3 linked regions of the Mytilus edulis genome follow. The protein of the gene in region 1 interacts with the protein of each later gene in a biochemical or structural test. Links are inferred from orthologs where the notes say so. Each region holds a gene or a part of one and is shown in the gene's direction. Other genes may lie near its edges. The genes, in order: probable ubiquitin-conjugating enzyme E2 7, E3 ubiquitin-protein ligase AMFR-like and ubiquitin-like modifier-activating enzyme 1.

Evidence for each region.
Region 2: the proteins of probable ubiquitin-conjugating enzyme E2 7 (region 1) and E3 ubiquitin-protein ligase AMFR-like form a complex in vitro, tested with the Homo sapiens proteins (7 studies listed by BioGRID, with this or other methods). The link is inferred for Mytilus edulis from reciprocal best matches to the Homo sapiens genes UBE2G1 and AMFR.
Region 3: of the proteins of probable ubiquitin-conjugating enzyme E2 7 (region 1) and ubiquitin-like modifier-activating enzyme 1, one has a biochemical effect on the other in vitro, tested with the Homo sapiens proteins (3 studies listed by BioGRID, with this or other methods). The link is inferred for Mytilus edulis from reciprocal best matches to the Homo sapiens genes UBE2G1 and UBA1.

The regions. Positions count from the first base shown.
Region 1 is NC_092349.1:6,893,583-6,901,456, forward strand, and holds the start of probable ubiquitin-conjugating enzyme E2 7, read left to right. Parts: upstream 1-4,797; 5' UTR 4,798-4,903; coding exon 4,904-4,949; intron 4,950-7,874. UniProt on the Homo sapiens protein: Accepts ubiquitin from the E1 complex and catalyzes its covalent attachment to other proteins. In vitro catalyzes 'Lys-48'-, as well as 'Lys-63'-linked polyubiquitination. May be involved in degradation of muscle-specific proteins.
Region 2 is NC_092348.1:64,430,696-64,438,772, forward strand, and holds the start of E3 ubiquitin-protein ligase AMFR-like, read left to right. Parts: upstream 1-5,059; 5' UTR 5,060-5,287; coding exon 5,288-5,611; intron 5,612-6,517; coding exon 6,518-6,610; intron 6,611-8,077. Other genes in the region: epimerase family protein SDR39U1-like, read right to left, coding at 398-483, 1,210-1,316, 4,759-4,774. UniProt on the Homo sapiens protein: E3 ubiquitin-protein ligase that mediates the polyubiquitination of lysine and cysteine residues on target proteins, such as CD3D, CYP3A4, CFTR, INSIG1, SOAT2/ACAT2 and APOB for proteasomal degradation.
Region 3 is NC_092344.1:46,511,943-46,520,010, forward strand, and holds the start of ubiquitin-like modifier-activating enzyme 1, read left to right. Parts: upstream 1-4,975; 5' UTR 4,976-5,239; intron 5,240-5,406; exon of another isoform or gene 5,407-5,531; intron 5,532-5,625; coding exon 5,626-5,727; intron 5,728-6,863; coding exon 6,864-6,893; intron 6,894-8,068. UniProt on the Homo sapiens protein: Catalyzes the first step in ubiquitin conjugation to mark cellular proteins for degradation through the ubiquitin-proteasome system.

The DNA.
Region 1 (7,874 bases):
CAAAGGAACATTCGATAAAGGGACATTATTCCATACTTCATGAATTTGCCGTAATTTAAATTTCGAAAAATGATTTCCTAAACGCTTGTACAATTTCACAAGAAAGAATTTACAAAAAGTTACTAGGCATAAAGTTAAAAAGAACTATATATCATACATATTAAAAATATATCGATTCAACATTCTTGGCTAAAATATCATCTTTTCGTAAAAGAAATAAAAATTCTGCGAGTGAGTTTCCCAGGGTTATGCGGCATGCATATGATTAACCAGTGTTTCTGTACCTGTTTGAACTTGTGCAACACTGAAAAGACTAATAAGATCCATCAGGCAGTGAGATGTCTGAGATTGATAAGATATGGCATTCGCCAACAACACCCAAGGAGACATTCGCCAACAACACTTAAGGAGAAACTATATGGACCAGTGGATGCCCTACAGAAGACCATTATAAATGTTGCGGAGACTGGTATTCAAGTATACGGGCGAACGATAAGAAGATATGCGCATACTATAAGGAAAGCCGCACGAAAGTAATCAGTAAATGATCGCATCATTCTTCTCGATATTTAATGGATGTTTTCTGTAGTAGCAATCCATCAACATCTCCTTATTTTCATATTATGAATAAGATATGTGACAAGAAAACGCAAAACGAGAGAAAGATGTCATCAATTATACAGATATTTTCCATTGCCGTGCGGCTTTTCACAATAAGCAAAACACAAACCGTATGATATATAAGTTATGATTGTTAAGCCCCGGGGTTAAAAATGTGAAACAATAAACAAAAAACAAACCAGACAGTCTTATTCTACAAAAATAAAAAAATAATATGTAGTGACAAACAGCAATTAAAAAAACAACAACAAAACAATATGTTATAGGCTTTAGTCACTATATATTAATATCTTGGTATTCTTTAAAAACCTCTTTGGGCAGGCACATCATAAGAAACTAGTTGAGTTAAGCATGTTTTGCTCATGTATTTCTTTCTGTGATCCATGATGGTCCAAATTTGATTGTTTGAATGGGATTAAAAGAGCGGCGAAATATACCAAAAGGGATATCAAAAATAACAAATAGACATCGGCACAATATACTGCCAACGCCATAACAAAATAAGAAAAAAGACCAAAAAGACAATAATATATGAAACGCAACATAGAAATCTTAAGACTTGGTCTCAGGTGGTAGGAAGGGTAAGTAGATCATCCTCCAAGAATATGTCTATGCATTAAAAATATATATAGCGTTCATAAGTAGGGCATCTGTACAGCGAAGCGCCACTTTAAACACTACTGTCTATATCTTAAGTGGCGGAATCAGGGTGGGTGGGGGTTATAACCCCCTTTTTGTTGAAAATCAATGCTTTTGACCTATATTTGGAACCTTTTATCCTTGGTTGGAACCCCCTGATCGTGTCGGCCAGTTTTTATTGGTGGTGGAAGCATGAGTGCCCGGAAATCATCGCCGACCTTCATAAAAAAAAAAATGAGAATCCATGTCAATTAAGATATTGGAGTAGAGCGCAGTCGTGCCACTTGCAGGGTTCGAGCACACCACCTCGGTGTTGACAGGCTAGTAATACAGTAGTTGGACTATACCTAGAACACATTTTTAACAGCAAAATATGCTGACGCAATTTACGTCTTTCACATGTACCATTGCTGCAGGAAAGTTGACGGTGAAGAATTAATCAAATTTGTAATGGTATATATTTTTTCCTATTGTTTCATATAAAACACCGGCTACTATACTTGTTTGGCGTCCTTAAAACATTCAAATACACATAAAATATATATATTAAAGCAACTACATACCTATATATCCTTTTTGCCGTGTGGTGCAGTTTCCATTACATTATAGAGATTCGCATATTTTCCTTGTACAATGACACCGTTTACAGTTCCAATATTGTATTTGAGTATTTTGTTTATGTTTCCACTCAGTCAGTGTTTTCTTATTTTGCATATTTTCCTTGTACAATGACACCGTTTACAGTTCCAATATATTGTATTTGAGTATTTTGTTTATGTTTCCACTCAGTGTTTTTCTGGTAGTATATATCTATATTTCAAAATAAAACTAATATCGTTTCTTTTCTAGGAATGTACATATGCTCCCTGCGTAAACTTGACTGAGTTTCTAATTGTCTTTTTTAATACCAAGATCAGGATATATATACATCTATTTGCATAAAATCCTCTTACTGTCAAAAGAAGCTCATGTGCTATTATTTAGAGAATGAGTAACCATGCAAGATAATTTTCCATTTATTTTTGGTGTCAAATTATAGTAACTTTTCCATTCATTGATTTTTTTATTGTAATTCATTATTCAAACAAGTGCTCTGTTTTCGTACAATTTTAATCATTTTAATCTGTACATTTACATACTAATTACAAGTGCTTTGTAATCCGTTGTCAGAGTCTATTGTGTAAATGCTTTAACATTTAATTTCTTATCTCATTTCCTTTAACGAGATTTTGTATTTGCTCATTTCAAGTTCATTGTGTAACATTACATATGTATAAGGCAATTCAAAAAAGATCTGAAAATTATTTAATTGGAAATCCATGGAGATTTAGTGTCGTTTGTTGGTATGGCTCATTAGTGTTTCCCCGTTTCTTTTTTTATTTAGCATAGACTACACAGCTACTTTTGCATAGGTACTATTTTTATACTATTTCTGTACTTAAAATCTGTAGTACTGGAAATTTACTTTTAATATTTACGGTACTATTTCTTTACTTGAGAATTATTGTAATATTTAGGTACTTGTATTTTCCAGTACTTGATTTGTACTTAAAATATTGGTACAAAAATAATACAAACAATGATCACAGTATTCCATGTTTGAACATCGTAACTTTATGAGATTTGGGGAAGACAAACTTTCAAAATGCTGAAAATGTTAACCATGCAACAAAAAATCTGTAGTACTTAAATTTCAAGTACAAATCAAGTACTGTAAAATACAGGTACCTAAATATTACAATAACTTTAAAGTAACAAAATAGTACTGAATATTAAAAGTAGATTTCCAGTACTACAGATTTTTGGTACAGAAATAGTACCTATGCAAAAGTAGCTGTGTATTCAGACCGTTGGTTTTTCTATTTGAATTGTTTGATATATAGTCATTTCGGGACCCTTTATAGCTAACTGTTCGGTGAGAGCCCAAGGCTCAGAGTTGAAGACCGTGCTTTGACCTATCATGAATTGTTTACTTTTTACACATCCTACCTTCAACGGGATGGATAGTTGTTTCATTGGCACTCATATCACATCTTCTTATTCATATTTGCTGCATATCTAAATGTATGATTGCTCATACTTTTTTACATCAGTTTTTCGTATACATGGTATAGATTTGAACTTAATCGAATGAAAATATTTAGACGCCATCATTTTTAATTGACAAAGACTTGCGTTATTCTCAAGATATTTTGTAACCGCAAGGTCATCCTATATCCTTGTTACATTTGAGGTGGAGATTTTCAATGAATACTCAGCAGTTGGGCAGACAGCAAGACGGGGTACATTTTAAAAGTCTCAATCATAGGACCTACATTATTTAATACTTCAATGAATGACATATCTTATTTTATTGAACATGGAGCCCTTTTTAATTAAGCTGACGATAATACTCTTTAGTTAAAACGTATTTTATTTACTCGTAAAATTATGGATTGGACACAAGTGAAACCATACTTATGAAGTCCACGGCGAGTATAATGTTAATTTTAGTTTCACGTTACTACAGGTTTTCAATTATACATTTATTTTAGTATGGATGCAGGTATGGATGAGACACAACGTAAGTATTTTATACAAAATAATAAAGGATGAGACACAGGTTGAGTCTTCTAAACAAAATATTAAAGGATGAAACGCAAGTTGAGTCTTCTATACAAAATGACGAATGTAGGACAGAAAGTCACAGACAAAAAGTCACGGACATAAAGTCACAGGACAAAAAGTCACAGTCCATTTTTTCTGATTATTTTCTTTGAATAAAAAACGCGTATTTCTACAAAAATATTTTTGCATTTTTCTTGAACTATTGTACATAAACCAACTTTGTAAATAAAATTTATCAAACAAATATCAAAGATAATTAAATAATTGTTAAAAAAACGAAATGTCAAAGTGGCTTGGCACTTAAATGGCTTCATAGTGCCAAGAAATCTTTCTTTTGCACTGGTAAAATTAAATAAATCTTTATTTTTCAAGTATAATGACACATTTCCTAAATTTTAATATGAATATATGTATAAAAAGTAAATATTTCAAGTTATTTCTCTTACATATTCAAACAATTGTCAACTAATTATTTGTGACTTTTTGTCCTGTGACTTTTTGTCCTGCGAAATTTGTGACTTTATGTCCTGTGACTTTTTGTCCTGTGACTTTCTGTCCGTTTACCAAAATGACAATGGATGAAACACAAGTTGAGTCTTCTATACAAAATGATAATATATATACCGGTAATAATAATGGATAAAATGCAAGGGGAGTCTCTTTTTTTATAGGATTTTTATTTCTGATATTGTAAGTACATGGTACTGTAATTAGTTTGGTGGCTCTATTTTTTTTTTACATTTTCTTATTAGCCAATAAATGTGAGGTAATGTATCCAAGGATTTGTAAAGTATCACTATACAAAGCCTTGGTGTATTTTATTCAACACCGAGTTAATTTCGATTGTACCAAAGAGTATATTAAAAAAAAGTTGATTGCGCACTGAAAATAAAAATTAAAAAGTCCGCGAAAACTTACAGTTATCTCCCCTGTCGCTCAGCTGTGAACAAACGATTGCACCTGCGCATTTTTCACTTCCAGAGGCCGAGAATAAAAATATCCGTTGGAGTGGAAAAGCCGTGGAAATATTTCTCCCATGGCTGTTGACCAGTCAGCGCTCCTTTTACAAAGGCAGCTACGTGGTGAGGAATACAAAATAGGGAGAACATAGTCTTTGAATTTGTCCCAAAATTGAAGTGGCATCATCCTTTTCCGTCTCTTGTTGAACAGAAACGAAAACGTCTGCGCATATGAATCATCTCGACACGTTCATTAATAATAAGATTTGTTTATTAAAAATGACAATGTTTAAATATTTATACACGTTGTTAAATTCTCTAAAATATTCTGTGTGGAAATTTTCAATCGCCACATGTACAAATGACACGCATGGTCCCAACTGTAAAATTTCTTCATCAAATAAGAAACTATTTATCAACAAATGATCAAAGTTGGTCTTATGTTGAACTGATTGAGAAGTGTACTCACAATCAGATATATTTTTTCTGTGGTCATATGGTAAAAAGTTTTTCCCTAGTGTAGGAGGTCGCTGCCTACTCCCAGATTGCTCTGAGGGCCCTTTTTAGGACTTGTTGTCAATATTGATGGCATGGTAGGTCACTCCTTTGTTTGTATAATTCGACAACTGGTTATGATGAGCCCTGAGAAGAGAACCCTTTTGCAGCCAAACTAACCGTAAAAATCATTGTCCTGATCCCGATCCTAAGTTCAAAATTGATACAACTTGTACATGTACATGTAACTCTTTTCCTTTCTTCATCATTCATGGTAGACCATATTGCTTCTGGTACATGTAATTTTCTCACGGTACTTTGAGTATTTATTTAGGCACAGGATCAGATCTTGCCAGTTCTTGAAAATGCCCTGATGTTGTGATTTTCATGATGGGGAGACTTCAGGTACACCTCATACATGTCAACAGTCTGGAGTGGGTCTCATTGGGGTCTAAGCGTGACGCGGGATTGCTGATTTTTTTAAAGCGTGACACGTGAAAGTCAAATTATTGTGGCGGGAAATGAGGTCTTGCGGGACCCGGGAAATGACCAAAAAATGAGAATTGCTTACGTACATAGTGTAAGCGGGATACAGGAATCTGACAAAACAGTAAGCGGGATCCGGGATCGGAACCCCCCAATGAGACCCCCTCTGGAGAAGTGATAATTGAGACAGGTGACGTGCATTTTTTTTATTTTCATGATTTAGAGTATGGAACAATTGTAAGGTGTATACGTCTGTCTAGCATGGTTTATCTGATCATGACCTCATTTTCATAGAACATTGATAATGTTGAGTTTATGTGATAGCTACAAGTAGTAAACTTTCATATTACAGACTTTCAACATGAACTCAGTTAAAGTAAAACAGGCGAGACATTTCTGAGTGTGCAGTAGCACTCAAGATAGGTTAATTTGACAAATAACAGATGTTGAACTTGATATTTCAACTGGACTGTTTTTAAGTGTGTCAGATGAATGCTTGCAGTTTTTATGTAGCAGAGGGTACATTTTGTATTTTAAGTTTTTACCCTTTTCCAACAGTATGTTCATACATGTACGTCCCAAAGTTGGTTTCCATGCTCTAACTTTAATTGCCTCCACTAAATATTATGAAACTTATACACAATGCTTATGCTTTTTACCACAAAATACAGATCAAAATTGAATTTTTGGTGGTGTCACTTTAACGATTCTAGAGTTGTGCACCTTTACGAAGGGAAAAATTGCTTATTTTTGTTTGTTTCCCTTCTCTTACAGTCCAACTAAAGTTTGCCTCATTCATATGTTAAGAAGCTCATACACAATACTTATATATGACAACAAAAATTAGATCAAGTACAAATTTGGGTAGCATCACTCTTACCCTTCTTCACTAATTATGTCCCTTTATATGATATTCATCATGGGGCATCATCCATGGTACACCTTCCCCATTTATTTTTAGCAAATGTTTTGACAGTCCTAAATTCTTTGAAGTATGAAAAATTCTTTTAAAGCAAATAATTGAATAAGTTAATACAATGAAAGACATACCTAAATCTTAATTGAAACAGAATTGAAATACCAGTTAAAAATCTGACATTCAAAGGGATTGAAAATTATGTGAAATTTATATACCAAAAGTTAAATGTCATTAAGAAAACTCAGGTTTAACCACAGGCCCAGCAGCCCAAGCTTGTAAAATTCCTTTAGGGTCTGTAAAACTCATCTCTACTGTCTAACAGAATCTAATAAAAAATTTCAAATATTGAGCTCTTACATTGTACATAACCTGTAGATTTAAAAGTTTATCGTGAAAACGGCTTAAAAATGTATCCACCTCTGATAAAATTTGTAAAGACTTAAAATCACTTTAAATTAATAATTCTTTCAATAAAATCAGATAGTAGCAGGAAATCTTTAACATTTTAACCAAAAGTTAGACATACAATTACTGAAAACATTTAGCTATTATACATGTTATATTGAATGTTTGAAATCTATGATCATAGTTTTGAACTTAACAGTTCAATTTTAGTTTAATTATTAACCTGGAAATTCTTCTGTATTTCCCTTGTATCTATTTTTGTTTAGCGTCAGCAGTGGTCTTCCCAGATATTTCATATATTTAGCATCCTGGTAAACAAGGAAATTTGAAATACCATCTTTTGAAAAATAAATTATAGCATCACATCCATAAACAATGTATAAGAAAATAAAATGATTCAATTCAGATAGCATCACATTCAGAAATATAGCATCACATTACGATGATGCTGAAAGGCCCTGGGGAGAACACTGGTCAGTTGTTATTTGTTATTTTAATCACATAGTTTCTAAATGTACACTGTACAAACATGGTGGATGTTTGCAAATTTGAAGTATCAAACAAAAGTAAAAAATTGACATGTCAAAAACAATCAATTGAACTGAGGTCATTGCACTCTTAACATATATATAAACAGTGTTTTAAATTTATTTCCTCATCTCTTTTATATGATATATATCATTGATATTGTTAATATGTACAAAAAACTGAATTGGCCACAAGCTGTTGACAGTGTTGTGTTG
Region 2 (8,077 bases), on another chromosome or scaffold:
ATCCTTCTTTGAAAGACATTAAAAAGGTGATTACCGTATATAGAGGAATCAGTTTGGAAAATTGTGTTAAAGTGAGGGAAATATTTATATATAACAGAATAAAATAAATGATTGAGCTTTCCACATCTGAGAAACTAGATACATTACTATCTCTTTAGGTAGATTCACTGTATACTGCCAACTTGGAATGTACAATAGCAAAACTTTGTGATGAATCCAATGAAATTTTTCTGATAGTGTGTGTGGTTCAAGTTTGAAATTTTAATATTTTTGTCAAAGGGTCAAAGTATTTTGTCAAAATTTTATGAAAATTAAATGAGCCAAATCAATTTTAGTCAAGGAGTTTGGTACCACCTTAAGCAATGTTAAGGCAATTGTACAAGGTATGAGATCTTACCTTTTGAGAGGATTAAGTATATTAGCTCCAGCTAAATTCACTACAGCTGTAACATCATCTGGTATTCCATTTTTATTTATATCTTTCTAAAAAAATACAATATTTAATATTCATGATCAGATATCAGGTACTGTGGGTTCATTTATTTTCATTGGTATCAATTGAAGAAGTAATTTCTAGAGTATTTGTGGTGTTAGCATTAGCTCCTTCCAAAGCAACTTAAAAGTTGTATTTCATGGAGTGTTTAAATTGAGGGGGGATAGGACCTTTATATGGACTCCGGGATCGTGTGTTTTTAAGCTCGGGATTTCGGGATTGACCCTTTCGGAATCTGGGAATTCTTTTTTTCGGATTTCGGGATGTTGGGATTTGCTTTATTTAAATTCGGGACCTCGGGATTTCGTTTTTTCAAGTCCGGGATTTCGGGATCAAGACCCCTCCTATCCCCCCTCTAAATTGTGTTTTTTTTCATTCCCCATGAAGTCAATGAAAATTGGTATCCCAGGATTATTAACAAATACACATTAATAGTTAAAACAAAGTACCAGTATATATAGAACTTCTGTTAACATGTGTAAAATTTGCATATACCATTAGAAGATCAGTCATAAAGTGTTGTATAGCTTCATGTTGAAATTTACGGTTACTCATGGTTGCTTTGTCATGTTTATGGTTTGTACTGTTTTGCTCATTGCACAATGGCCATGGAGGATAGATAGAATCAGGCAAATATAAATGTAGAGTAATTAATTAAAATTTGGAACCTTTCATTGAATATATGTTAACCACAACTAATAAAGCTTGTTCTTTACCCAAGTAATAGTATCTGGTCCTGTCTTTCTGGACACTTTTGTTACTTTATAACCCTTCTCTTGTAAAGCTTTAGTTAAATGACGGCCCACAAAACCAGTACCTCCACCTAAAATAGACATATAAATTAAATGTTAATTGTTTTTTACAAACTTGTTAACCATGTTAACAGATGTTGAATTATATCAAAATAAATTTTGTTCAAACTAAATTACGGCAGTTAAATCTTTGTCGTGTCATTGACCTTGTTTTTAAAAATCGTTAAAACATTGAAAAATGGACAATTTTGCAAATTATTTATTTTAAATTAGGCCATTAAGTTTTCTTTATTGAATTGTCTCATATTTTTCAAATGGTTTTCCTACTACAACTGGATATTTGTAGATATATTTTTTGGTCAATGATTCAATTAAGAAGTGTCAATACCTCAGTATAATGGGGGTCTCATTGGGGGGTTCCGATCCCAGATCCCGCTTACTGTTTTGTCAGATTCCAGTTTCCCGCTTACACTATGTACGTAAGCAATTTTCATTTTTTTTTGTCATTTCCCGTTTTCACGACACAATAATTTGACTTTCACGTGTCACGCTTACAAAAAAATGGCAATCCCGCGTCAGGCTTAGACCCCAATGAGACCCATTATAATGACAAAGTTCAGGTGAGATTAAGACCCCTATACATGTACATTGTGTAAATGGCAAATCCCAAACACACTGCTTGATGATGCGCCTGACAATGGCAGAACATACAGATAAGGTAGCAAGTTACATGTGACATCTATCATTGTCTATTATTGGTATCTGTGTAGGATTTCAACCAAAAACAAAGGGACCTGGAATAATGTAATTTTGATCAACACCATTGTGCAATATTGGTTATATATAAAGTTGAATTCTTTGATAAGTTGTTTTAACATCATGCCAGCTAAAAAATTAGACTTCATTGTTTCAGATAGTGTAGATGAGGGTACTAACATTGTGTTACACTCCTGACGAAAAACAATAAAAATTCTTGCCAAATGACGTGAACAGTAATATTTGATGATAAAATGTAAATGATGTACACTTTCTTTTATTCTAAAAAAAACAATCAACAGATTTTGATGAATCACATTAAATTTTATCCAGAAATGACGGTAACAATAATTGCTTGGACATGTTATAGATCTCTGACGAATCATGATAAGGATATTTTGATGAATTATGGTAAAATTTTAATCAATTGGAAGCTAGCCGAAAATGACCATTCCACGCCTGACGATAAATTTAAGGGCATTTCATATTCTCATAGATGAGGGGGGATAGGACCTTTATCAGGACTCCGGGATCGGGTGTTTTTAAGCTCTGGATTTCGGGATTGACCCTTTCGGGATCTGGGAATCCTTTTTTTAGGATTTCGGGATGTCGGGATTTGCTTTAATTAAATTCGGGACCTCGGGATTTCGTTTTTTCAAGTCCGGGATTTCGGGATCAAGACCCCTCCTATCCCCCCTCTCTTATGCAACATATAATTTATAATTGTATAAATAAACCAATTTTTCAAGATGTTTCGGCTTTGGTTTATCTATTTATACAATTATAAAATGTATGTTCCCTATTGCAATTTTAAAAACAAGGATATAATTTATATATAAACAGCTAAAATATCTTGTCCTCTATATTTTTTTATAAAAGTCATTTGGTTGTTTTTGTTAGCTCACCTGGCCTAAAAGGCCAAGTGAGCTTTTCTCATCACTTGGCGTCCGGCGTCGTCCGGCGTCCGTCGTCGTCCGTCGTCGTCGTTAACTTTTACAAAAATCTTCTCCTCTGAAACTACTGGGCCAAATTAAACCAAACTTGGCCACAATCATCATTGGGGTATCTAGTTTAAAAAATGTGTCCGGTGACCCGGCCAACCACCCAAGATGGCCGCCATGGCTAAAAATAGAACATAGGGGTAAAATGCAGTTTTTGGCTTATAACTCAAAAACCAAAGCATTTAGAGCAAATCTGACATGGGGTAGAATTGTTAAACAGGTGAAGATCTATCTGCCCTGAAATTTTCAGATGAATCGGATAACCCGTTGTTGGGTTGCTGCCCCTGAATTAGTAATTTTAAGGAAATTTTGCTGTTTTTGGTTATTATCTTGAATATTATTATAGATAGAGATAAACAGTAAACAGCAATAATGTTCAGCAAAGTAAGATTTACAAATAAGTCAACATGACTGAAATGGTCAGTTGACCCCTTTAGGAGTTATTGCCCTTTATAGTCAATTTTTAACCATTTTTCGTAAATCTTAGTAATATTTTACAAAAATCTTCTCTGAAACTACTGGGCCAAATTAATCCAAACTTGGCCACAATCATCTTTTAGGTTAGTAGTTTGAAAAATGTGTCCGGTGACCCGGCCATCAAACCAAGATGGCCGCCATGGCTAAAAATAGAACATGGGGTAAAATGCAGTTTTTGGCTTATAACTCAAAACCCAAAGCATTTAGAGCAAATCTGACATGGGGGTAAAATTGTTTATCAGTTCAAGATCTATCTGCCCTGAAATTTTCAGATGAATCGGACAACCCGTTGTTGGGTTGCTGGCCCTGAATTAGTAATTTTAAGGAAATTTTGCTCTTTTTGGTTATTATCTTGAATATTATTATAGATAGAGATAAACTATAAACAGCAATAATGTTCACCAAAGTAAGATTTACAAATAAGTCAACATGACTGAAATGGTCAGTTGACCCCTTTAGGAGTTATTGCCCTTTATAGTCAATTTTTAACCATTTTTCGTAAATCTTAGTAATCTTTTACAAAAATCTTCTCCTCTGAAACTACTGGGCCAAATTAATCCAAACTTGGCCACAATCATCTTTTGGGTTAGTAGTTTGAAAAATGTGTCCGGTGACCCGGCCATCCAACCAAGATGGCCGCCATGGCTAAAAATAGAACATGGGGTAAAATGCAGTTTTTGGCTTATAACTCAAAACCCAAAGCATTTAGAGCAAATCTGACATGGAGTAAAATTGTTTATCAGGTCAACATTTATCTGCTCTGCAATTTTTAGATGAATCGGACAACCCGTTGTTGGGTTGCTGACCCTGGATTGTTAGTTTTAAGGAAATTTTGCTGTTTTTGGTCATTATCTTGAATATTATTATTGATAGAGATAAACTGTAAACAACAATAATGTTCAGCAAAGTAAGATTTACAAATAAGTCAACATGACCGAAATGGTCAATTGACCCCCTTAGGAGTTATTGTTCTTTATAGTCAATTTTTAACAATTTTCATAAAATTTGTAAATTTTTACTAACATTTTCCACTGAAACTAATGGGCCAAGTTCATTATAGATAGAGATAATTTTAAGCAGCAAGAATGTTCAGTAAAGTAAGATGTACAAACACATCACCATCACCAAAACACAATTTTGTCATGAATCCATCTGCTTCCTTTAATATTCACATAGACCAAGGTGAGCGACACAGGCTCTTTAGAGCCTCTAGTTCTTCTTTTGATGTATCATTGATACATATTAACCATCTCCCTTATTCTCAAGAATAATGCATCACCTATTAAAGCCCTCATTCTATGTGAATCAATGTATAAGCTGATAACTGCTTCCAGTAGCCGGTGACAGTCAAAACAAAACGTTGCGTAATCACAACTTTATAGCCAATCGAAAATGATAGTTTCGCATGTATAATTTGTTGATTAAAACTTTTAAACTCTTAACATGAAAGATTTTCATAACCGCTTTGAAAATTTAACAATGTAATTTGTTTTTTTGTTAAGGGAGTGATTTTCTACGAAACAGTGGCGATTCATGCAACAGGTGCGCTCGATTTCTTAAGATTTTTATTCTATTATTTTTGGGGAAAACTTTTTCAAACAAAGGGTATCTTCTTTACTTATTTATATTTTATTCGTCGATTTATTGAATTAAAACAAACAAAAATCTCTATTTTGGTATGTTTTATGAAAGAAACGATTACAATGCCGCCATAATACACAAAATTTCAAGTCGAGTGTGACACAATATTTGACAGATCGCCACACAATAATGATTTGTTATCTTTTCTAAAACACAAATAAACCACAATGCCTGTGATACTTCTAGAACGGATACCGCTGCCTAGTCTTCGTACATACACTAGTCTCTCTGTTGTATTGTTGTCATGTGCTGTGTTTTATGCCTATCAATGTGTTCTTGCTTTCCAAACAAACCCACATAATTCTGATCTAAACGGAGCCGGAATCGAACATAATGTTAACATCGGTAATTCAAAAGAAATCAGTGACATATTGAATGATCCAGATGTAGTAAAGGAACCATTACCAAGTGAATTTGACATTCAGCTGCCATATGAGAGTTTTTGGTGGAATGTAGTCTATGTTCTAACTTCAGAAATATGGTGCATTTGGGTAGGTACACTTTGGATCCCTGTCTGTTAACATAGATTCATGGTCGTCATGATTGAGGTTTCACTTTGAAATCCTGTCTGTTCACCCAGATTCATGTTCGTCCTGGTTCAGGTTTCACTTTGAATCCCTGACTCCCTGTCAGTTCACCATGATTCATGTTCGTCCTGATTCACGTTTGGATTTGGGTAGGTTCACTTTGAATCCCTGTCTGTTCCCCCTGATTCATGTTTTGTCCTGATTCACGTTTGCCCTGATTCATATTTGTCTTGATTCATGTTTGCCTTGATTCATGTTTGCCTGAGTACCTGTTCGCCCAGGGTCTATTGTTCCTGATTATTATTTGAACAGAGTTTGGTACAGTTTGTTAAAAAAAAAAATTTCCCTTGATTTGCATAGTAGAATACAATGTATTTATATGCATATATTAGCATAGCATAGAAAAAATAAAAACGTAGCAACCTAAACCTCAACCTAAAACCAGTGAGATCTCTGCAGGTTCTCCTGAAGGGTAAATAAACAGATCCTGCTCCATATAAGGCACCTGTTGTGGTGCATTTTTAAGTACAGACTCAGTGATAAGTAACCAATTTAATTCTCTTTCCATTTGTTACATATAAAAAAATGATAGTCAATGAGACAACTAAGAGGACACAGATATATATATACTCTTTATATGTCACTCACTGTATAGTCTTCAACAATGATCAAAATATTTACGATAACTTCAACTATAAAAGTTTTTAAGACATATGGCATGATGATTTTTTTAATTTCTTATATATACTGTATAAGTATTCTAACTTTTGATTAACTGTGTACATGCATGAATGTGTTTAGGTTCTGATATTTGAATTTATTTTAACATTTCCTATAAGTCGTTGTAAGTGATACATATTTATTTTTCAGACTGTTGTTAACACAGCATATTGCTGTCTTATTCTGCTTGCCAAGTTGATTCAAAAAGCTGTATTTGGAGAGTTAAGAGTTGTAGAAAAGCAGGTAATGTTTACATACATGTATTGTTTTGTATATTTTGACTGATAAGGATTACATAATTAAAATTTCTTATAATAATTGAAGTAAGTCTATTTAAATAGTTGCAAACAAGCAGAAGGATCTGTTATTGTCTGTCTTGTGAATACATAAATGTTGAAGAATTACATGCTTAAATCATGTTTACCATGTTTACATTGTCTTGTACTTTGTACATCTAGGTTCATGCTTGAATCAAACTAATGAATTGTATACATGTATGTTATTTATCATATAAAATGAATTCTTTTGATTTTCTCATTCAAAGATTTAATGTGAAAATCAAAGAATAAAAGTCATGATAATGATTTTAAAGATAAACATGAAAAAATTTGTAAGGGTTCCGCGGAACCCAGTGTCTCGCCTACTTTTGCTGTAAATCGCAGGCTCAACAAAAATGAGGAAAAAAATCAATAAAAATATTCCTCTTGATACTATCTTTTGATTGTAAGAAGCTTCTGTCCAAGTTTGGTAAAAAAAATTCTGTCCAAGTTTGGTAAAAATTTAGGATAGTTAATGAATCTAATAAATGTTTTAAAAACTTTAACTGCAGACTGTATGTAATGTTAACTGGAAGAAAATCTAAGTTCATTTAAAAGTAAAATACAGAAAAAAATGGAGTTATCTTTTTACAAAATTTACTTCTGGATACTATCTTATGATCATAAATAAGCTTCTGTCCAAGTTTGGTACAAACCCAGGATAGTTTAAGAAAGTTATTAAAATTTTAAAAACTTTAACCACAGAGTGAATGTAATGTTTCCCCGCAGAAAAACTAAGTCCATTTAAAAGTAAAATACGGAAAAAATGGATTTGTTTTTTTACAAAATTTACTTCTGGTTCCTATCTTATGATCATAAACAAGCTTCTGTCCAAGTTTGGTACAAACCAAGGATAGTTTAAGAAAGTTATTAAAACTTTAAAAACTTTAACCACAGAGTGAATGTAATGTTTCCCAGCAGAAAAAACTAAGTCCATTTATAAGTTAAATAAGGAAAAAATGGAATTTTATTTTTACAAAATTTACATCTGGATACTATATCTTATGATCATAAACAAGCTTCTGTCCAAGTTTGGTAGAAATCCAGTATAGTATTAGTTTAAGAAAGTTATTAAAATTTCAAAAACTTTAACCACAGAATGAATATTTGTGGACGCCGCTGACGACGACGATGGAATGTAGGATTGCTTAGTCTCGCTTTTTCGACTAAAGTCGAAGGCTCGACAAAAATGATTCAACATATTTAAGTACATAATTTTACTATCAGTGTAAAGGACTATCGAAGTATTTCTAAAGAAGAGTGTTTCTTAAAAGATATTATAATTGTAGATGTAATTAAACATACATGTAGAGAATGATATAAGCATCTGTATTCTGTATCAATATAAATTCTGCCAATGAAGGCACACCTCCAAAGGAGTTGAATAAGTAAT
Region 3 (8,068 bases), on another chromosome or scaffold:
GAATCTGAATTTGTTGTCATTAGTTTAGTTTATCTATAGTTCTGTTTCCATATATTATAACTGCAGCCCTTTTCCTTCCCGACTGAAAAAAAAAACAACAAAAAAAACAACAAAAATACCAAAAAAAAAAAGAGGCTTAAATCCATAACTTTTCTATAAAAAAATGAATGCGTACACCTTATCTTGAAGTGCAACAGGCTATTTTATAAGAAATTGCGTACACCTTATTTTTGTAGCAGGCTTCAAATTTCGAACGTGTTTTTTGGGGGTTAATTTTCAAGTTTGAAAAATAAATAAATCAATGAACTTGGCATAAAATAATGATGAAAGTAATGTTTCGAACAAAATCCCCTCTCTCAGAAAAGACTTAACTATTTTCGATATCTAACAAATTAACGCAATAAAATCCTTCATAAATTTACAATGAAGGAAAGAAGGGGGAAAAAAACAAAGTAGAGACGGCAGAAAAGAAGAGAGAAAAAAACGTGTTTCTTTGTGTATCGTTTTTCTTGCAATAATTCATTCCGTTTATTTTTCATTAATTTTTCAAATGAAATAATTTTTTAGTTGAAATAAAAATAATTGCAATACACGAACTATATTTATTAAATTATAAGATGATTTAATCAACTTCATGATTGGATTACAATAAATCATGATTAATAGACAAAGATGTTTGACAATACACACAAGCCCACGACACGAGACTGTTTTGACAATGGACTCGTGCCTAAACTAGAAACTCAAATTAATTACTCTATGATGTCATTACCCTGACGTTTCTCAATTTCAGGTGTCACTAGAAGAGCTATATAACCAATCCTTTCCAAAGAATCATCAGAACTTGTTTCAACTCTTATAGTGCTAACAACTACTACATATTCTTTATTAATCATGAAAGCTAAAGTACAAATGAGAAACCTCAACAAGAGGACCAAATTGGTTGAGAGCGAACGTCGATTCAAGAGAGCCTGTGAACAGATTGTCCAATTGAACTACTCTTTAGACGCACTTCAAAAGAGGTACAACAGAGCCAAGACTGACAACAACAAGTCTTTCAGATACTCGCTACGTCTACGCATAGCAGTTGTTGATGGAATGCGCAACATGTACTACGACTACGCTCACCAGAAAGCAGAATCCGTAGCCGAACTGAGACAAGAACTGTTTGGTGAAGTTGTCGACATTATTTCAGAAGATTCTTCAGCAGACATTGAGATGTATGACTAGAGGAAAAGCACCAGACTTCTTCAAAAAACGGTTCTTTTCAGAGCCACACACATTTTTCAAAAAGAATCTGAATTTGTTGTCATTAGTTTAGTTTATCTATAGTTCTGTTTCCATATATTATAACTGCAGCCCTTTTCCTTCCCGACTGAAAAAAAAAACAACAAAAAAAACAACAAAAATACCAAAAAAAAAAAGAGGCTTAAATCCATAACTTTTCTATAAAAAAATGAATGCGTACACCTTATCTTGAAGTGCAACAGGCTATTTTATAAGAAATTGCGTACACCTTATTTTTGTAGCAGGCTTCAAATTTCGAACGTGTTTTTTGGGGGTTAATTTTCAAGTTTGAAAAATAAATAAATCAATGAACTTGGCATAAAATAATGATGAAAGTAATGTTTCGAACAAAATCCCCTTTTATTAGCTCATAAGACTAGCAGTTATTTGTGGAATGATTGGATGATCTCCCTTTGTTTAAGACGCCATGGACAAGCACCGGGAGATTTTAGAATATAAAGTACCAAATGTTGGCCAAATTGCCGGCAATGCTATTTTTAGCAATTATGTCCTCAAATGGCTCTTTGAATAAACTTTTTATGGAAAAACATCTGTTGTCTTATTGGAGGTCGATATCTACTTGTGATTTAATTGAAATTAAATATATATATGATCCCATGGTGATTTGTTTTTTTACGATACCTTACGATTTCGCAAAAAATTTTCCTTAATTTGGAACAGCATAAAAAAACATTTCTGGCCCTGATCATATACATTTGAGGTCAATTTTGAGCTTGCATGAAACTTTCTTCAAAATGCTTTTCAGAAGAAAAATATATAAATGATGTAACAACCAATCACAGAAAGCCATCTATTTTTATCTCTATGTCATGTTCCCTTCACAAATGGCTGCGCCCATGTAATTTTATTTATGACATTGTTACCATAAATGGGATACGATTTTTTTCATAAGTTTAAGCTTTTCAAAAAGATTACTTTAACATTAGCGAATATGTAGTTTATAGGAATTGATATTTTATAACGCAGGCACTATATAGTAGCCAATAAATATAGTATTACTCTTTTAGCTTTACATTAAAAAAAAAGTTGTACACCTAGATACATGACAGCGATGATAATACTTAAACCATCAGAATACAGGGCCGTAACTAGGGTTCGAATTCAGGGGAGGCAGGGATTTGGGGGCCGCCGATTGAGGCCCCCTAGATCCGCCGATTTTTTTTTCTCTCTCAGTTAAAATGGCTAAAAATTACCCGTTTTCCTTCGATTTCCTTACTTTAAGAAACATCAGTATTGCTGGATCCTTGAAGCAATTTTATGCAAACAATTATTATCTGTATTTAAAGATATTTTTGTAAGAAATCAAACTGGTAAGTTAAAAAAACATATAAAGCAAGATCATAGAACGCAAGATATTTTTTTTTTATCGAGAACCTTGAATTTCAATATTGTTGAAAGCTGGACAGACATGTATAAACTACAACCAGGGACTTTCTATACTAGTATATACTTAGTATAGAAAGTCCCTGCTACAACGAATGGGAGTGTTAACTAAGTAACTAAGGCATTGACCATAATGTTCTAGTATGATCGGGAGATGTTAAAAAAATTATCCAACAGCTGATTCAGCCGGTAACGAATTTCCGATATCATTAAAGAATCACAATACAAAGTGAATTTCCTCTGCTTAATTGAGCCCCTAAATAAATGTGAATAGTAAGGTTTTATTCAAAATTGTCGAAAGCAAAATTTCATATGTGTTCTCGTACGAATACTGAATAACAGACGGACGGCCACACGAAAAAATAAAAATAAAACATACTGAAACGGTTCACAATCAATCAAAAATCCAGACAATGACAGATATAATTATCATGAATCATGATAACACTGTTAAAACTGTAAACTTGTGTTGTTTATGATATAAATTCAAGTTTTTCTTGTACATATTGTCAATATTTCATTTTATTACTTTAAAAAAAAAATGGTGCAGAAAATTCAGGGGAGGCAGTTGCCTCATAGGTAGTTACGGCCCTGGAATAAGAACATATATGCTACGCCAGTGAATTGAATGTGGTTTATCATGTGCAGACCCAATCATCTTGGTTTAGTTTATAACTACGTAGGCATTGACTTTCGATAAAATGAAATATCTATATATAATTTTACCAACACTGCGTTGATATGTAGTCTCAAACACCGCACTGCTCCTGTTGAGTGAACTTTCCGATATAGAAACGACAAGGACACGGACGTGTGCGTATGATAACAATAAAAAAAAATTAGATAATTTAATTACAGAGAAGGTTATCCGTTCAGATATTTTTACTCTATTTTAATTACAATTTTAAGAAAAGGTGGTCTAGATTTTTGTATATGTATTTGCGGTCTTCTCGATGAATTAACACTCAATGTTAGCATCCGTTTAAATTCGCCTAATAACTTGACTTAACTTCAGCATAGCAATCAGTTCAGCGACTCTTGTTTTGGTACTTTTGGCCAAATTGCTCTGATTTAGTCCAACAGAGGTATACAACCAGCAATAAAGACATGAAGAATTGAAAGAAGTCAGAGACATATAATATAATACAAATGTCTCTGATAAAGTTAATTTGGTATTCCCAGATTTATTCGCATATCGGCATATAGTATACCAACATTTTGAACCAATTTTACACAAAGCTCATTATAAAGTTGATTGATTGTTGGTTGCCTGTAAAGGGGAGTAGTATGTATCAATTTAAAGTATATATTTTTAAAATAAGACAAAAAGTCCTTCAATATACTAAAATTCTAGACTAAAGCAAATTGATTATTTACAAATAAAAATCAACAGTAAGATAACGTTATAAAAATTAAAAACGACTTAAATATAATAACATTTTTATATTCTATAATAAATTCCAATTTCTTTGAAAAATGCAACAATATTTGTAAATGGAACATTATTAAATAAATCATACATATTATTGACATTGAAATGCTTCTTACGAATATCAGTATAGTCAATACAATTAATTAAAACATGTTTAATAGTATACTTGCAGTTGCAAGATACACATTGTGGTTCATCTTCATTTTTTAAAAGATACTCGTGTGTTATTCTAGTATGACCAATACGACATCTAGAAATAACACACTGATCTTTTCTGCACATAAAATTATTAAAAGGTTTGCCTAAATTAGCTTTAATTTCATGTTATTTATTATCATCTTTTTTACTCCATTCATTTTTCAAAATATTAAAAACATATTCTCTAATATTAGATTTAAAATCAGTATATGGTATATCACAGTTAGATAAAGGGTCACCCAGGGCATGCTTTGCCTCATTTTAAAGTCTACTGTCCTTGTTTTTTTTCTGTTTTAGTAAAGCAAATGATAATATTAATATGGAAATTTTATTTTAATCTAAATCTATTTTTATTGTACTTATCTATTAAAACAAGTAGATTTATAATTATTATAATTAGGTTTTTGTGAATCTTGCTAAATTACATAAAATTAAAATGATCAGTTTTATTTTTGAAAAAGTTATCCCGTCGCAATTATGAAATCATTGCAATAACCTGTGGTCGATTTTGATGAAAATTTTGAAAAGTTGAAACTGTTTGAGAAGCAAAAACCTTGAATTATGTTATTCGAGGTGTTGACTGAGGGTGTTGACACGTGTAGGTCCTTGTTTTACTTTCGTTTTCTCCTTTGGCCTCAAATTTGCATATTTCCCAGAATTCCCGGGGAGTGACATAGAAACAGGAAGTACTTTGTATGTCAGAAATATTATTGGAAATCACCGTAATCGTTGACTCATTTCTTTTGATAGTGTCTTTGTTCGAGACTTTTCGATAGCAATTTTCATATTGTTATTTATTTAAGATCCAACATAGAAGACTTATAATTCATCGGGTAGAAGAAAATCTGTCAAATATCATCGAAACTGAAGAAAGCCGCTCATGCAAGTCGGATGTTCATGTTGTGAACCCACTTGTTGGTTTGTTCATATATTATTATTTAATCTCGTTTATAGAATGATCTTCATACTGTTTTATTGTACATAGTTGTAACATTTTTTTTCTTTCTGGAATCATGTCATTTTAAAATTATGAAACTTGGCCTGTCAAAAAATTTATTTTGGGTGTTAACTGAGGTAAAGGCCCGAGTGATCGTTCTTCCGCACGTGTAGGCTTCCGTAACCTCCGCCATTTTTGTGGCGCTGAAACTCGTCTGCAACTTCAAAATCATCTTAGTTCCTTTAGATTTCCTTTAAATTTAGATTTAGACAGGTATTTCAGTTACAGCAAAGACCAAATTGTATTAAAAATCTTTGATTTATGCTTGAAATTACTCTGCAGTTGTATTTTCTTTGTGTTTTACCAGATGTCCAGTTGCACGGATTCTGAGGGTCCTCCTGCCAAGAAACAGAGACAAAATAACACAGAAAATAATAGTGAAAATTCCGCTTCAAACTCTGTAAAAGAAGTGAGTATATTTCAAAAGACGAAAAATAGCTTTCCGTTAAATATGCATGGATCAATAATTTCCTGAAAGTGAGCGAGATTTTTTTATATTTTACTTTCAGAGAAGCTTTTAAAATTAGTATAGACTGTCATTTGGAGTCAGTCATGTATTAGTTAAGAAATTGATGAGGACACAAATAGTTTTCTATATAACTTTTTAATTGTGTGAAATATTGCACCAAATCATGCAGGATTGATGATTGTATCAGTTTTGAAAGTGTATCAAAATATGGTGGGCTAAAGTAAAAAAGAAAGGATCCTTCCATATGAGCCCCACAACGATCTTACAGGTATCTTACAGGTAGAGACCACTTTTAAAAAACACTATCATTGTATCAAGTTGATAGTGATCATTAAAAGGGTTGACAGCTAGTTTCTACATAGGATTTTATGCATGTGCACAGAATACTAAAAATTATTATAATGTTTTAAGCTAGTGTACCCTCGTGTCGAATGTACCATGCATACATTTTTGTAATAGCATCATGAGCTCCATACACCAATTTTGAGTTCAGCAACATCAAAAGTTTTACTCTGACTTGCATGAACCTCATTTTTGAAGTTGTTAACTTATTGTCAGTATTTACCATATACATGATATAAAAACAATCTCTTAGTCTGAAACTAAAAATTGGAAGACAGTTCATTCAGTTGCAAACACACTTGATTTTGGTGAATTTTACTTGATTGAATTGATAGCCTACAAACATTTGAAGATGGAGCCTTTGTTTTTCAGTGCATTGCAATTGGCGAATCCAAATTGGGGAAGAGGGGTGTTCCCTTGAATGGAACTCCACTCCCCTTTTACCATTTTTTTTTTTTAAAATATGAACATTTCAAATGTTTCATGATGTTGCAGGAGTTAAAACTCCCTGGCAAAATGTTGGGATCTGTTCCTGCAGTGCAACATGTAGAATATAGAACACTTTTAACTTTGCATGTCCTTTACAGCTCATTGATTAGGCCAAAACAAAGTTACTTGTTTCCTGCCTACTTCAGAAAAAATAGTAGTAGATAGGTACATGTAAAAATTAAATTTTTAGTCCCCTACCGAAGAAGAAGTAGAATGTAATGATTGAATCTTATTTTTGTTGATAGGGATTTACAATGGGATCAAAGCCAGTAAAGGTACTTTTGCCCTTTATATCACTGCAGCACTGTCATGACTGGGTGGCAAAATGGAAAAAAAATAAAACTTTTATCTTTGTTTTCTGTTTTCTTCAAAATCTTATTTTGAACATGCTGAATTTTCATTTTGTACCCATCCAGCTTCTGTATTTAGTGTGCTTCTTTGGTGCTTTTCCTCATGAGAACCGTATTATGAAAACAACAAAGAATCTTAACATTTCCAGCTACTAGTCTGAATCAGAAATTCCAACATTTTCACTAAATAAGTAAACATAATTTCGTTAAATGATCACTAGCCTGAGTCAATTTATACAAGAGTTGGCCATGGTGCTTGGTTAAAGGCACAGACTGTCTGTTGTTATCCTAGAATAAATGGCTAGGACATATGTTGTTACTCATTTCAATAACCTTTTCATCACTTACTAAAAATTGTCTTGATATTTTTCTCTCTGCCTACATCATGTACAGATAATGGTCTGATCTATGTCCTAATTGGAATAAATAGGGATACTAATACAACAGGGGTGTAAACTATTTGTGTAAAGATTTATCAGTCAGAAAATGGATGAACGGGATGATTCATACATTATGTACAGATGCCTTATGCAGTGTTTAAGCTAGGATTTTGAGGGCTTTAGTCACTTTTGCGCGCTATTAAAATCAACCTTATTTCGTGTAAAAGCAATGGACGAATGATGTATATTACTAGCTTCATCTTTTGACTTAGTCAGATTTTTAAGGGATTGAGGCACCAGCAGGATTGGCAGTTATTGTATGATTTGACTGTATTGGCCATTATTATGAAAGATTCTGACATGGAATCCAGAAATTTAGTTCACAATTTCTCTTCAGTTTGTTCCAGGGGGTCATTCCTCAACAAAAGTTGGATTCTATTTTTTTTAAACAAGGAATCACAGCAAAAATTAATTTGCAATGATTATTTCACTGCATAATCATTATCCTTATAAAACGTCTCGGCCAATAATTTAAAATCATTTCTATCAAGTTGGAAATGTATAAAATCCTTTTTGGAACGATTATCATGACTGAAAGGAGGTTGTAAACAAATCAACAATTGATCACGTTTACTACTTTCGGTTTTAAAAATGAAACGAAAACGGGAAGTGACACGTGGATAATAAATTCAAAACAAGTCCGGATTCATCAAAAAATTA